Bombyx mori: one gene and its partner. The protein of the gene in region 1 interacts with the protein of each later gene in a pairwise test. Links are inferred from orthologs where the notes say so. Each region holds a gene or a part of one and is shown on either strand. Other genes may lie near its edges.

Region 1 (3,832 bases):
TGAATTTAACGTTAATTTTAAGAGATAGGAAAATTTTAAATGATTTTTGATTTACTGATTGAAAGACCACCTGTTAACATCATCATTTTTATTTTACTTTAATATTTTACCTGGCACATGAATTCTAAGGGATGATCGGAGGCCCGCAGCAGCTGATCTAGCTCCCGCAAACGACTCTCGCATTTGATCTGACGTCGTCCGAGGGACTGGCCGTTTTTACTAACTCGAACCCACACCAACATGGAGACTTCCAAACATGATTCTAATTAAACAAACAAAAATTCCATTAATTCACTTATTAACATTATTTTATATGTAAGAGTGATGAGAATTATAATACTAAATTACGAACGGAAAAAAATTCAACATATTGCTTGCAATATTTTTTTACCTGGAATATCAAACTGCAAAGTATACGGGTTTCTTTTCTTGAAGGTCGGTATTTGTATGACCTCTCCTTTCTTATCGACCATTATCTTGATGCTGTCTTCTTCTCGAATAGGATCGTTAAGGAGCGCTATCACGCGACTCTGTCCCTGTGAACGAAGATAAATGACTTTTCGAGATGGATTCGGTACGCCTTTTACTTTGAAGACACATTTTAGGAACTTTTTAAATTTACGTTGAAAGTTCACGAGTTCGACACTGATTACTGAAATATAATTATAAGTAAGATTCAAGATGCTAATTTAAACATTAGAAAAGTATAATATATTTCTTTGAGCTTATTGTGACTTTCACACATTTCTTAATATCATTTAGGTATCAAATTTTGCCAAGCCACATGACCTTCGATCTAAACGCAAAACTTCCATACAAAAAAAAAAACTATATTCTATTTCTGCTCTGAAAGTTATTTACATTCACTTTCTGCAAGACACTAGCAAGTCACTTACTATTTTGACTTTTTTTGGTACAATGGAGAAGCTTGTTCTATCTGTAGCTGTATCTTTGCAGTCTTTAGTTCGTAAAATTCCAACGGCCGCCGTCAGAAAGGTGTCAACAAATGACGTGTCTTTCTCGCGTACCGACATCATATGCCATTGGTCTATTGTTGGATATTCTGAAATAGGAAATTGTTTCAACTATATTGTTTTAAATTCATGTATTCAATGACTTTTTTATTTTTATTGTTGATTGTTTTTTGTAAGTTTTTATATGCAGCTTTTTCTTTTTTTCTTTGTCTTAGTTTTAATGTTAGTTAACGATATTTCTATTTTAAGCACAAACGCTCTTAAGCAAGATGTGTTCACACCCAATAGGGTGAATTCTATCATGTATTATTTTATGTAAATAAGTTCAATGTTTATGTGTGCAGATTTAATCCAGTTGTGTGAACCTAATAGGCACGCGTATGTAGTGGCTAATGTACCTATATTAAAAACTTTACGATTCTCACCTTCACAATTTTCAGCTATAATATGACCTTTTTCAACTCCGAGGAGCATGACTAAAATTTTATCAGTTTTAAAGACATTTTCGGCGTTGAGATCTTTTTTCAAATCAGTCATTTTGGTTGCTAAATTCGGACACAGGATTACGATTTGCAGTTGCGCTTTTGACAGTTTATCGACTTTCTCCTGCGAATCGGAAGACAACAGTTCCTCTGCAGTCACTGGTGTCACCCTGTTAAAAAAATAATTAATAAAAAACACAATTAATACAATACAATTCCGGTTTTTGAATTATTGTGCATTGCGATTTTGAATCTAAAAATGACCATATTAAAGATTATTATTATTATTCACCTATAATGGTGTCTGGCTCTTTGTGACATAATTTTGTCGAAGCTGGCAACCAAGTAATCTGACCAAAGAGCACTCTCCGGAGACCCCGAGCTCCACAGTATCGCTATATCTTCCATTTCTGTAACAACAACGAAATTATATTCTTGTGATGCTTTGTGTGTAAAGTAACGTAAGTATGAAACTAAATATCCCCAAGTATCAGACCGATACATATAGGACCTCAATAGTGGGATTACTTTATAAAGTATGTACTATAGTACATACCTAATATCCAAATAATCTTTATACCTTTATACTTTATCGGCTTATTGTTCAGAAGTGAATCAGTGCCGATGAACGTAACCCAAAAAACATTACAAATCATATAATTAATCACGAATTATTTTCTAGTAAAATAAAAATATTTTTACACTGATTATATCAACTGTAATAAACTACACTGATATCATATAACATTCTAAAGTTGGGGGAGGGTGATGGGAGAGATGTGCTCCGCATTAAACGCTTCACTCTCCCCCCTTTGCCTTTTCATTAATTCTGTCTCATGCGAGGCTCGGACGTGGGTTGTTGAGCGACAGGAGGTTTTAGTCGGTTAGACTCCGACATACCCCGCCCGCCATCCCCAGTGGAGGGTGGGAGTCTGGCGATTTCCTCTTGACCAAAAAAAAACATCCTAAAGCGAAACAGTCTTCGCACTAAGTAAATCGGGTAAATTCCATGGAAGCAGCAATTCTGTTAGCTTATATAAGCAGCTTTCACACAAACAATGGAATTCCTATTTAATTAAAAGAAGTGCTTGGTTTGCACCGACCACCACAATTTAATCACATAGTGCACGGTGCTCTTAAATGTCAAACGGAAGCCACGAGTGGACACACGTTAATTGAGTCAGGAAATTCAATTAACTCTTCGTCGCTCGCTTCGGAAATTCCCATTTTGCTAACGAACACAAGAGAACAATTTAATTGATGCCTCAGTGAGCTTTTAACATTGTTGTCAAGCGTTGTCATGATTATTTTTCCATATGAATAACTCAGTTAAAAATATATATAAGAAAAAAAGGAAACCAAATTGGGTAGAATATTATTCATTACCCCAGTTATCAATTAGCGAAATAAGTAGAAAAGAGAACACAGTTGAATTATTATGCAAATTTAAACGTTAAATATACTTCTAATATTCTTTAAAATTATTATAAAAATATTTCCTAAAGACTATGAATTTATCAGACCTGATACTCTTTCGAACGGGGGTGTCGTGGCAAGTTATTTATACCTTTAACGTGTACTGTTTGATTGTTTGAATATTTAGTAATAGAAATCATTAAAACATTATTTTGTTAAAATTTTCTACGCTTCTTGCTTAAAGTTTATCTTAAAGTATGCAATATTTCTTCTGTTACGTTCATTGTATCGTTCTACATTTGAATACTGAAATTGTTTGTAATCGTCGATCTCAAAGGCGGTCGGTCAGAGCGATCAAATTTAATACCTTCGACTGAGAGGAAGTGTTGTCAAGGGATAATCAAGACATGAAAGATGTCGTTCACTTGATATCGAACGAGGGTCATTGCCTGGATCGAAGTTCACGAAGGCCCGTCGTAAAGCTTTGTACGCATGCCGCTCGATTTATTTATGTAAACACCGTGTGCATACAGCTGTTAATATTAACGATAAAAATCTAATCTAACACGTGTTTTATAAAAGAAAAACCATTAAAGAATATATATGTATTTCGGCGGAGCGTTAACCGTACCGGCATGCTCGTTCTATTTACGCTGTGGTAACTAAATGGGTAGGTACTTGAAATCAATTAACTTTGACCAATGATTAATTACTGCAGTACACTCAAAGACTAACGCTATACGTATTTTGATTACGCAGTCATTTCAAGTGCTTATTTTTTTAATTCTAAACTTAGGCATTAAATTATACAGCCATATTCTGAAAGGAATACTGTCAGCATAAATAATAACGACAAAAACAAGATGCTAATAAAAGTAAAACGTTGTTCCAGAGACATACTTATTTCTTTTCTATTATATGCACGAATGAAAACATACGACGGCTGTTAAAATTTTTATA
Region 2 (3,932 bases), on another chromosome or scaffold:
TTTTAATCACTGATTAATTAAAAAATACGAGTGCTGCCTCTTTTTGTTAAATAAAAATAGAATAGTAAAGATTTAGTTCAGTGAGCTATATTATTATTCAATATTCTAAGTCTTTGTAAAAATTATATTTCCTCTCTGATATTTTATGCTGAAATCCATATTGCATATCATTAGCTATTTCTTAACGTTGAAAAAAATTGTTACCTTTTTTTCAACAGTACAGACATATTGGTTTTTAACGAATTTACTTTCGGATTCATTATTGTATTTACATTAACAAGAAGAAAATCTAATAAAACAACAAACATTAGTTAAGCTTAAGCTCAGCGAAAAGCAAGAAATGAGCGTGGATCGCATTTATCCACTTAAAGTAGCAGTAAAAAAATGAGTAACTACGACAGAGGACGTGAGTTCTCGAGTTCGGAAGTCTCAGGAAATTCGTATCTTTTAGTATTTTATTTTCATCGTATCTAATTTCAATTCATTTTATTCTATTCCATGTTATTCAATCTCCTTTTGTTATTAATATTAAATAAATCTACTTCATTTAAATCTCTTGTTTCCATAGCGTTTTCAGTTTTCCATAGAACAAATATCTGGAACAATTAGTAGCATTAGGCTTAAGGACGCAACATAGGTTACTAGAAAGATTAAAAAAAAAAAAAGCTCAATTTGAAAAGAATACCTCTACCCTCCATAGAAAAGAAGAAAGAAGAAAGTCTAAAGCGGTATGTAGAGAACACGACTTTACCTACGTTGTCGTAAATTAGTGTTGTGTCTATGTCTGTCATATCTGGAGGAGGACTTTTTGGCGGGAACGCGAGGAGTGAAGTTGTGTGATTTGTTTTATTTTGTATATTTAGTGTTTCTTCAGGTTTAAATGTGTAATAACGGTGGTTTATTAACTGTTTAATATCTGTGAAAGTGCACAAATGTGGGAAAATGAAACAAAGCCGCTGGACGCAACTTCTCGGGATCCTCCAAAAAGTCCACTGAAAAATCTTAGTAAATGACCACCATTTTGCTAAGATTATATTTCATCCCATATCATCTCATTTCATTTAATTTCATCCCAGTTGATTAATGTCTCAAATTAATCATTTTCATTTCATTTCACTCCATATTATCATTTTTCGTAAAAATAAGAATATAAATTAAAATAAGACATGACTTAAAAGTCTTAGTTACCAGGTCATAAAATCACCAAAAAAAAAACATCTGGAGGATTATAAACCAATACAGCGCCATCTCTAGTTGATCAGTGGATCGATTTCAATATTTAATGCGAAGCAGTCAGTATGATAGTCACTAGATGTCCTTTGTTTCGAGGTTTTACGACCAGCTAGATGTCATGTTCATTCAATCGCAACGTTCAACAGTTCAACTTTATTCAGCTTATTCCGCTTTGTTTTGCGGAGCTTAGAGGACGTAGTGTCATAGCGCCTGCGTTTGTGTATTGTGTCCAATGTTTTTATGTTAAAAAGTATTTTTTGAGTGAACACACAATTAAAACTTAAACGGACAGTGTTTTTTTAAGCGAACCAAGACAATGCGTGCTTTTTGAACTTTAGAAAGATTGTTACATTCGTACATTTGCGCAATCGTTAGTGAGACTCGATGTCAATAAACTTGTCGGTTGTATTTTATGGGAAAGGTGTGCCGCGTCGTGCTGTTACCTGTTTGCGACGGCCGGGTGTTCGAGTCTGATACAGCAGCGCCAGGAGCGTTCAGGCCATGGTGTCGTAGTCAAGGTGAGGTGCGTCGGTTAGAGTACTTTTCGGGGCCGCGCTATGGTGTGCGGGACTCTGGCGAGCGTGCATTCACCTCTGACCCGCGCGCGGGGCGAGCGACACTCAAGGTCGGTGCGCCGCCTGAAGGTCGTTTGTCACGTGACACGAAGGGTGCACACCCCGACCCTCGCGAGTCGGGACTATCGTTGCCGCCGTCGCGACGCTTGTTTTCATTTAAGACAGTCGTACACAAAAGTTGTCTCTTTAAAATCTTCTTTTATTAGTAATTAATTTTTTGGAAATATGAAAACTTGACACGTTTAGTTCGAGTAGCAGTGAAATATCTTTTGATTCAGTTAAAACCTCGGAATTATGTTTAAAAAAAAATTACATTCACCGGTAAAAGGATTTCGGTTATTGAGAACAAGGTCTGAATTAAAATCAAGGTTCAATGGGATATGACTTATTTACAATCGCTTGTTTATAACGTTCATTTATTTAATATTATTGAATAGTTTATGTTACGTTCAGTCATAAGAGAAATAAAATAGTTCATTATTATAAGAATCTTGCGTGCTTGTATGAGTGGAATTGCCTTGCAGTTGATTTCTGCCACGAAGCAATCATCCGCTCTGGTTTAAAGGTCACAGGTAACAACTGTTGTACCTGTGCGAATGTTATTGAGATTTCAGTCCTAGGTGGCAGGGTGAGAATGGCATTAATGTGGCAAACAATGATTTCCAAATAGACTGTCTAACAAAATATAGTTGAAAAGCTTAAAAAACACACTTTTATAACAAGCCTAATTAAAAATTTAGCGTTATGTGTATAATATCAGACTAATATAATGCATTTATTTTATTTTGACCGGTATGTATTTGATCCGTGTGCAATTTTTCAATGTCACTATCAAATGTCAAGTTGATAAAAACGTGTTAAAAATGCTATAATTTAAATGTTCAAACAATATTTTTCAATAGTTTGGATGATAGATTACGACGTATATTTGCGAGTTGCTCATTAAGTATGCACTTAAGTATCTAGGAAGCTCTTTGTCTTGCACTTGTGTCGCGAAATAACGGACTCTGTGTAAGTTGTCATAAGTATACGTATTATTGTGTTTCTGAGTGCACAAACTCTTATTATTTTTTCTACCTATGCTGATAGTCTTGAGGAGCCTCTCAAGGCTATTTCAGCTTCACCCTGGCTTGTAGGTGAGCTTTCGAGGCTCAAACCAGTAGTGTTGCTAAACCTGGTCCGAGCAAGAGCAGTGCTTCGTAGAATCTACCACCGGACCAAAAACGCGATCCACTGAGAAGATCCGGCGAGAAACTCAATGGGATGTGTTTATGGGCTACAGTCATAATAACAAACAGGTGTGTTCCAATAATTTCAAGATCGTCCAACGGAATCGAATATAAATAACAAAACAATACGACGATATTGTAACAAGTGGGCAGTGTATGAAATTATCCTTTACCTCGAACATTACGTAGTCAAGGACACTACGGAATCATAAAAAGCCCGTGTAGACGAAACAGCGATAAAACGTACGAGCACGCGTAGAAATGCACGCTCGAATCTCACGAAGAATAACGCCTTAAAATAATTCAAACTGCTCCAATAGCGCCAGACAGAGAAAAATGTCACACGAATATTCAGGAAGCGGTTACTCAACGACTTAATCTATTTATGTTTTTATTGCTTTGACGACTGAACGAGCTCACGGCCAACCTGATCTTAAGTGATTAACAGACAACAAAGACATCACAATGTGAATGCCGTCTTGCTTGAGGAATTAGGGCGAAATCTAAATTGCATTTAATAACTATCTTATCCTTGGAAACGGTAGAAACGGCCAGGGTAGTGATACCTACCGGTATGGACTTACTACGCAGCACTAGCAGTAAACAATCACCGTCATGATAATCGCCTTATCGTTACCGCCGCTGACTACACCCCGAATCCTGATCACGGAGGAGCCAGTCACCGTCGACGCCCTAGACACGTCCTTACGGATCCATCAGGTCCATATAACCCTTGCATTAGACGCCTTCAGCTCTAACACTAGGAGCAGGCTTGGGGACCCGGCAACCATACTCGTAGAACTCTACAAAGAGTTCGACGTGCAACCTGACCATGCATCAGCCCGCTGAGGTTCTCGCCATTCCGATCCGGTAGTAGATTCATTCGCGTAGCAGC

What was found.
Region 2: the proteins of phosphoinositide 3-kinase adapter protein 1 (region 1) and nuclear hormone receptor FTZ-F1 beta interact in a two-hybrid assay, tested with the Drosophila melanogaster proteins (2 studies listed by BioGRID). The link is inferred for Bombyx mori from reciprocal best matches to the Drosophila melanogaster genes stumps and Hr39.

The regions. Positions count from the first base shown.
Region 1 is NC_085118.1:7,634,069-7,637,900, reverse strand, and holds part of phosphoinositide 3-kinase adapter protein 1, read right to left. Parts: intron 1,867-3,832; coding exon 1,749-1,866; intron 1,627-1,748; coding exon 1,400-1,626; intron 1,064-1,399; coding exon 897-1,063; intron 537-896; coding exon 392-536; intron 263-391; coding exon 111-262; intron 1-110.
Region 2 is NC_085121.1:3,625,983-3,629,914, reverse strand, and holds the start of nuclear hormone receptor FTZ-F1 beta, read left to right. Parts: upstream 1-1,305; 5' UTR 1,306-1,756; intron 1,757-3,932.